2 linked regions of the Bombyx mori genome follow. The protein of the gene in region 1 interacts with the protein of each later gene in a pairwise test. Links are inferred from orthologs where the notes say so. Each region holds a gene or a part of one and is shown on either strand. Other genes may lie near its edges.

Region 1 (4,272 bases):
TGCCGGACCTCCTCAGTGGGTCGTGATTCCAATCCAGTAGCAGATTCTGCGAAGCACTGCTCTTTCCAGGGCTAGTATTAACAAACTCTCTCTCTCTGAGCCCATGTGCTCACCTACCCGTCCGCGCGTAGCTGGTCTAGCCTCCTAGGCTACCAGCGAATAGGTATAGAAAATATGTGAGAACTTAAGCTAACTTTAGAACAATTAGTAATTAACAAGTTAGTAAATGCTTTACATTTAATGTATTTATTAGTCTATTAAAACATATTCACCTGTGGTTGTATGCAGTCTAACGCGATATGATGAGCAGCATTCTGCAGAGTCTTGTGTTTAGATTTGTTCTCCTCCATAATTTGACCTATACAAGACTCACAGATATGACATGAGTATCACAGAAATTGCTGAGGAAAATCTTGCTATCTTAATAATTGGCAACGTATGGAAGATACATGGTATTATAACACGACAATCAGCATATATGTTTATTAAAAACAACCCGTGAATTATTTATTTTTTATGATCCATTTGGAAATCTGTAGGTTTGTTTTCGTTGTTTTGATGAAACAAGAAACCCGAAGAATATAAATACACACCACACGGACGTAGTACAAATTCATAATATTTACTATGTTATCGTTTCATTCGTGGTACTATTTCATTTAGTCGCTTAATAATACTAGCAAGAAATCAATACCGACCTGCCATAGATTATTAAAAAATGCTTAAAGCATTAGGTACAACAAGTACAAGTACAAGTGCAAGTTTGACCTTTCCTAGAAGTATTTTAATATGACACTGTTCAACATAGTTGCTTGAATGTAATATTAAATTATCATTTTCAGCGTGACACCAGGTAATCGCTTCTTTTCCAATGTACTATCATATAAACTGATAGAGTGGAATGCATTCCTATTCCCCGAAACCAAGCCACTGCCTTTAACCAAGAAATCTACAGATCACGTATGTGTACGTGATTATATCTGCAAATCAGTTTTTCCTTTTCCCTTCAACCATTATTTAGTTTTGAAAAAGCCTGAGCTTTAATTTGCGTTTGTGGTATTTCCTTAGCCCTTTTCTAAAATCTTCTTCTTTAACCGTGGTTCAAGCCATAACGGCAATCAAAGGTGCTATACGCCCTCTCATTCACGACCACGTGACTTATATTATCACGTACTCTTTATTGTAATTTTATTTCTAAATACGTAAACAAAAAACACTCAATATTACTCTTACCATACCAAGAATGTGCTTCAATCATCATCACCAACGATCATCGTATCATATGATAAGGTATCAATATTGATACCTTTATAATTAAGCAACATATGTCTCAAAAACTATTAATAGGTATTGTGCATATTGAAATATTGTCAAGTAACCTGTTGGTGTATGACTGGCTTTATGTCTCTTAATTTAAATATAGTTTTTTTCTGTATATACCTATCTACGTTATGAAAAGTTATATTTATAAATTTAAGGCAGGATTGATTTATTATCAAATAGGAACATCAACTAAAATGCTATTTACGCAATAAGATAAATTCAAGTGAAGTATGTACACAGTTTCAATTTTAGAATACGAAAATACACTAATGCAAATTTCTACTTTGTTGATAATATAAATGTGTTCTATCGTACATATTGAATTTTCAATGTCTGTTTACGAGTTTTTTTACTGGAAATTACAAATATGATACTTATTTACATCAAATTATTTAATCTAATACTTATTATTGTTTATTGCTCCTTTGAACCACTACAGAGGAAGACTATATGCATCATGTAACCTTCACAATGATAATATTTCACATTAAGTTTAAAAGAAAATAGATAATTTAATTAGTATGTAATATTATGAGATTATTAGCATTTCGGATGATATTTGATAAATTTTAAATTTGCCGCTTTTACTTAGTTACGAGAAGTTACGTGAAATGAAATGTTTCTATTTCGATTTAATTATGGCGGACGATGATTGAACGATAGCATATCTTTTATTTAGTAGGAACGAATTAAAGTAAATAAACGTTAATGTAATTGTCGGAAACAGTCCAACACCGTGAAGGTGTAGTGCCGGGGTGGGCGGATACAAGATATGGCCGAGAATAGAAGTTCGGACAACGTCGTCATGCCGGACATTACCGAAGTATCCGAAGCCGATCCATTGTCGACGGCGACCGAGCACGACAACGAGCGGGTGGAGGGCACGTCTGTGTTGTCTACCACCATCAAAAACACCCGGCTGTCCAATGATTCTAACGGAGTTGTGACTGTACCAGTCTCGTTGCCAGTTGGGACGCTCATCGCGGGTACCACCTTCAACGTAATCACGTCAGACCATTTGCCGCATTTCAAGCCAATGATCTGCGTTGACAATGGTTTTATTTCGGGTGGGCCAGTGAGCGATGAGTTAAAAGCAACACACATCGTCATCCAGAACCCTCCTTCTCCTACTCGAACTAATTGCGAGGATGTGGTGGTAGCTGCGCCTGCGCCGCGATCGATGAGTGCACGATCATGGACGGAGACTGCGAACATGCCAGTGCTGCCGGTACGCTGTAAAAATACATCAGCAGAGCTCCACAAAAATAAATTCGGTTCAGGGGGCAGAGGCAGGTGTATCAAATACGGCATAGAGTGGTACACTCCTAGTGAGTTCGAAGCTCTATGTGGCAGAGCCTCTAGCAAAGATTGGAAGAGGTCTATAAGGTTTGGTGGAAGAAGTATTCAAGCTCTCATTGATGAGGGTATTTTGACTCCACATGCTACAAGCTGCACTTGCGGAGCTTGCTGTGATGATAAATCTGGTAAGTAATGCATGTTAAGTATGCTACAATTGAATATATTTTGAATGCTAAATTGCTGTGAATTTTTAAGCAGTAGTTTTATTAGTATTATTGTGATTATAAACCTGTAATAATGAAATCTACAGCCATGGGACCAGTGAGACTATTCACTCCATATAAAAGAAAGCGAAAGGAAGAAAGAAGTGAGAAGAAACCAAAAATTAAAAGAGAAAGCAGCATTGGAGAGAGTGAAGTGGATAACATACACCAGAGCAGTGAGAATAGTCACTCAAAAGAAGCTTGGCAGAGCATCGCTGAGGGTTTGGAAACTACTACCGATTACCAGATACTGGGGAACCCTGAAATCAAGACTGACCCCCCTCCAAGTAAATATTTTTATATCATAAATATTTATATGTTGAATTACTAGCCTTTGCTGGCTATTACAGCATTCAAAATAAGATTAGAAAACAAAAAAGCTAACTAGGATATTTTTCATTCTTTTGTATTAGAGCACATATTAGATCTTAGCGGCATGGGTGACATTAATTTAGATCTCTTTACTGTGACAAATATTTTGCAATAACTTTGCTAAATGTTGCAAATTGCGACCACTTGCGAATGGAAATTATTATTATAACATTAAATATTTTACTGATTAGTGACTGTATAAAATAAAATTTTAAATGAAATTAACAATTTACAAATTGGATGACAAATTTACAATTGGATGCTCAAATGGAGCATGCATTATGTATGTACTGGTTTTGATGTTACTAAGACAATTTATGCCTCATTTAAATGATAATAATAGTCAATTTAAACATTAATGCAAAAAATTGATATTTACGTATTTTTTCTCAGAAGTCTAGAGTTAGGTGTCTCTATGTTGTTTAAATTGATTGACAATTTAATGTAGATTTTTTGAATAAACAGCTTGCGTAAAGTTCAAGAATTTACATTGTTTTCTGTAGGCTATCAAAAATACAAGCTAAGCTATCATTAATTAAAATTCTGTTTGCAATGCAAAGAAATGGCAATGGCAACCATATACTTAAGCGAATTTTAAAAACAATTTTAACAAGAATTTTGTTTATCAACTATGGCATTTAGTAGATGATCATACCACTTAGATCATCTTAAAAGCTCTGTATAACCTAGTTATACACTACTGCTGCACCATCTCAACATTCAGCATGTGTGTGCCAAGCGTAATGCCATTATATCATCCTCTTATTGCTCATGCCTAACTTTTAAATATTTTCTCCTCCATCTGCCAAGAGGACTTCTTTGTAATAATAGTTCATTATCGGTCAAGTGGCCAGTGATTTCTTTTGTTGTTATTATCCTACTGTTATTTAACTTAACTACTGTTATGCTGGCAGGTAATTTGAGTTTTATTTATATTAGGGTCAGTGTCTATTGACTTAGGTAAATTAATAAAAAATTGTTGCAATAGAGATGTCATTCCTGTAAATATGATGAG
Region 2 (4,580 bases), on another chromosome or scaffold:
AATGGAAACGACCTAAGTATAAATAGGTACAGGTTTGTAGGGTTGTCTATGTAGTTATAACAATATTTTTTAAATTTGTTGCTAAAAATGTGGTATATTCGAAGCGAAATTGAGAATAAGTCTTTAGTTGAAATAGATAAGCAATTTAATATAAGTAAGTCGATTTTGCAGAGACATGTAGCAAGATCAATGAAATCTCAAGGTGGACAAAAATGTCTAAGTAATATATTTAATATTTGAATAATAAATATTTCAAATTTGTTCAGAGTGGGGGTATTCATCTGATTAATCCATGGAATAACCGACACACCTAATCTCTTAACCCAGATAGAAATATCAGCACTGTCGATTGCACCTATAATTGAGGTGATGTCTGCCATGTATTTTTGTCAGTTTTTCATTTTTTTTTATTGATGATCACTTTGTTGGTGCAACTAAGTAAATAAATAAATTAAAACTATATATAAAAATAAAAGTAGTGCCAACCCTAGCAAATTTCTCATTTCGTCCCAATTAACCGCAATTTTCGGGTAAATAGGGATTACACCTATTTTTGCATTTTTTGCTTAAACTGGAATGCTAGTTGCATAATTTTAAATTAGACAACAAAGATGCCCCCAAGACTCAATCATTTTGATCCTGATATAGCATTATATACATCAACAACTACCTTAAAATTGCTCACAAAGTTGGAATTTGTCCCTAATCGCCCCATTTTACGGTATGTGGTGTCCCTACTATATACGTCTATGCTCTCCTCATCCACTTCTTGCCGGCCACCGGTCATCGCACCATCTAGCCAGGGGGCGTCCCACGTTACGTCGTCCGCTGCGCGGTCTCCACTCGAGAACCCGTCTGCTCCAGCGATCGTCAGTCCTACGGCATATATGGCCAGCCCACTGCCACTTCAGCTTGCTGACTCTATATTAGTTCAGTTGTATACTTAATATTAATTATCAACAAATCGTTAGTCATTATTACAATGGGAACCGACATAAAGTCTGTTTTTACTACCAAAATATTTTAAAGTAACGTCCTTAATATTAATCGATAGTTTGATGATATAGTTAGTTTTACAGTTGTTTTCCGAAATTATTCCATGAGAATATACTGGCAAAAGGGGAATCGTAACAATGAGAAGATACATACAAAGAACTCAAATATCATGATTCAACAGACACAAGCATCTACTGTAAATTACCACGAGAAACTGTATTTGTGTACATGTATATTAATATGTGCAACTAGAACGCAGAAAAAGAAAGAAGCTGTCCTTTACTATCTATGTAAGCAGGTCTGGTGCGCAACACAATGCATCCTTGCCGGTGTTTGCGTTTTCTATATATAAAGGAAGTTGCGAATTTAAACAAAACGTACATATTACATAATAAATGTTCAAGGGTGACTGCCGTGATATAGTAATACATCGCTTTATACCAAATCCACATCTGTTTCTAAATTTGGGTAATTGCTTTCACAATTTGTTGATTTGAAGGATGGCAATAGCCATTAATAATGTAATTGAGACTTTGACTTCATGTTTCAAGGTGATGGGGTGACATTCATGTCTATGGGTTCTAGTAACCATATTACATCAGATGAGCTGTGAACTCATTCACCCACCAACGCAATAAAAAATTCGATAGCTTTTTAAAAAGAGTTATGTTTCATTTTCCCATTCTTATTATTTTTTAATGTTTGTAACACAATGGGGGCTGTCCCGCCATTTTAAATTATCGCCATTTCGTTTCTTGTGTGAGATGGAGAATTAGACAGGAAAGTGAGATAGAAATAAAATATCCTATTGTGTTTCTCTCTGTAAATCCTTACAATATAAAATTTAACTTTAACTGTGATATTATATAAGAGGTAAGATTTTAAAATACCTATAGAGAGATGCCGTTCATATTAAACAATTCATCGAGGCGTCTGTTCGGTTTGAGTGACTTCAATGGCGTCCCTTACTAAAACTTTTTAGATGGTTCCCTCATCCTTTTCTCACACATCTCTACTCTTCACTAGTGACTAGAGAGTAGACTGTGTTTACTGTTTTCCTGGCAAGTGGCATATTCAACTTCCAAAAGAACAGAAATTTAGTAAATATGTATTTTATAACTTTCACCTTTAGTTTCAATACATTGAATGATCATAATTTTTATTATCGAAATGTATTCTTATTAAATATCTTTGACTATTTTGTTTCATAAGCCGAGAAAAATAATGAGATAAAAGAATATCATTTTAAAAATGTTTACAACTAACAACGTTCAAGCGGGCACAGTGCCCACTCTACAGTACCAAGAACATCCTCAGAAGTCACAAGGGAAGAACATAGAAAACGTACAACAAAAGAATGCTCATCAATCACAGGCACAACAGGTCATATATTGTGTTGAATTAGTAAAATAATACAGTAGGTATTTAAAATTATTAAAATATTATAATAATTGAGGACATAAATCTTTTTCAGGAATTTCCAACATTTTGTTATACAACAAATGTGAATATGATTGGTAAAATTGGAACTGCGAACACTAGTCAAACAGGGGGTGTGAACATAACGCAACTGACTACAAGCGATGACAAGACATGCTATATAGCACAACCGTTCTCATATAATTATGCACTTGTTAATCAAATGCAAATAGCTCCTAATGGAATACAAAATACAATATCAAACATTAGTTTCAAATGTGATGTTTGTGGACTTATGTTTGGTCATCTAACTTTACTGACAGCTCATAAAAGGATTCATACTCAAGATACAGGTAAAGCTACAAGCTGTACTGAAGTTTGAAAACACTGCAAACATAAATTAAGAGGGTAGATTAGTACAAAGATGATATGCGGTGTTGTTCATATTTTCAATTGTCAAGTGCAATATAATATGATATGGTTTTGTGTTGGCAAGCAGAATTAATAACATTACAATAATTTTTACAGATAACAATATTACAGTGGTAGCAACAGCTGGAAATGATGTTACAATGCCTTCACATATACAAATATTGTCATCAGACCCAAATGAACAACAAAATCAACAACACCATGTACAAATACAAGACAGTAAGTCAAGTTTTGCTCTATATTTTTCAATTTTCAAATTCTCTTTTTATTGTTTGGTGTATATTATAAGTTATACTCCTCCTTGCGTCGTTTTCCTCATTACTGAGAGTTGTGACTCCCCCGCTGCATCAGTTTCTCCCGTACGATTTCCCTCCATCTGCTGCGATCCTTAGCTTCATAAGAGCATTGTGGAAGTTGATGCTTAGAGAAGATCGTATTTGGTCCGACCATCTCGTGGGACTGCGTCCTCTGGGACGTTTGCCATCTACCTTTCCTGTCACCATCAGCTGTTCTAGATTGTGACCCTCTTTACGAGCAATATGTCCAAAGAATTCCAGCACCAGAAAGTTATACATATAGTGTACGTTAAATATCAAGGACCCATTAATGTCAGTGATAATGAATGTTTTAGATAGTCTACTGTTTGTAATTATTTTTACTTATACTGAGCTTAAAGCATTGTAGAAAATATAATTATAAAGTAATCTCTAAAGTATTTAGTTAACTTAGTTACTTAAGAATCTCTTTCCTTCTAAGACTAATAAGAATCTTGTATTTATTGTAGCCAAGCCTTTACTAGACAAAATTCAGAAATGCATATCATGTGGTGGAACAATACAGAACAATCCAAAAAGAAAGGGGCCCAAGTTAATAAGATGTGAAACCTGTATAGCACAAGACTCTGTTGATCAACATAGACCAAATCAAAGTGAGTACAACTCTGTAAAGTTCTAATGGGTAATTACATAAAAAAAATAGACAAATTATACTACAAACTACTTGTAAAGGGGTGCTCATTAGAAACTCAGTAGTCAATGAATTTAATTTAATTTATTATGGCCTCAAGGGTTAACCTAACTTGTGCTGTTATATTGGTGTGATTGTGCCTTTGTGTGACTCCCATAAGCAGGTACCAATTTGTCTTATGAAATTTGTACTTAACTGAATGAAGTAATTATCTATATATATAAAAGAAAGTCGTGTTAGTTACACTATTTATAACTTAAGAACGGCTGAACTGATTTGGCTGAAAATTGGTGGGGAGGTAGCTTAGAACCAGGAGAAGGACATAGGATACTTTTCATCACGTTCCCGTGGGACGTGGCATACAACGTGGTATAACAAAACACAACTGATATGGATTAACAAAATGCAAATGACAGCTAAACGTAACGTAGTCTAAGGTTAATTAAAGTAGAATTTTGAAGTAGACCGGTTGATGTGTTTGTTTCGAGTTTCTATTAGCTTATTGTGCCGAGATAGGTAATCATTACCAGAAAACCATGCCGCGATCAACATGATCGAATTTTTCCCGACGAAGCCGTAATGCAACTAGGGTTCGAAACATTGCGAGTGAAAGGACTGAAGAAGAACAAGAAAATATAATAATAACAACTAAAATACATGGCCAATAAAGTATCATTAAAATACTTGCTTTTTTTAATTTACATTAATTATCCAAATATAAAATTGACCTTGATAAAATTAAAAGTATGCTCATTTATTGCCTCTAA

Evidence for each region.
Region 2: the proteins of deformed epidermal autoregulatory factor 1 (region 1) and zinc finger protein 665 interact in a two-hybrid assay, tested with the Drosophila melanogaster proteins (2 studies listed by BioGRID). The link is inferred for Bombyx mori from reciprocal best matches to the Drosophila melanogaster genes Deaf1 and Clamp.

Annotation. Positions count from the first base shown.
Region 1 is NC_085107.1:2,583,274-2,587,545, reverse strand, and holds the start of deformed epidermal autoregulatory factor 1, read left to right. Parts: upstream 1-1,472; 5' UTR 1,473-2,095; coding exon 2,096-2,807; intron 2,808-2,932; coding exon 2,933-3,172; intron 3,173-4,272. Other genes in the region: uncharacterized protein LOC105841890, read right to left, coding at 273-350. UniProt on the Drosophila melanogaster protein: Transcription factor that binds the homeotic Deformed (Dfd) response element. High affinity binding sites contain at least 1 TTCG motif surrounded by additional TCG sequences.
Region 2 is NC_085121.1:5,965,505-5,970,084, reverse strand, and holds the start of zinc finger protein 665, read left to right. Parts: upstream 1-1,536; 5' UTR 1,537-1,869; intron 1,870-1,919; exon of another isoform or gene 1,920-2,096; intron 2,097-2,208; 5' UTR 2,209-2,247; coding exon 2,248-2,379; intron 2,380-2,470; coding exon 2,471-2,768; intron 2,769-2,943; coding exon 2,944-3,066; intron 3,067-3,631; coding exon 3,632-3,775; intron 3,776-4,580. UniProt on the Drosophila melanogaster protein: Transcription factor involved in X-chromosome dosage compensation in males, the process by which transcription of the single X chromosome in the male is elevated. Binds to the DNA sequence (GA)n.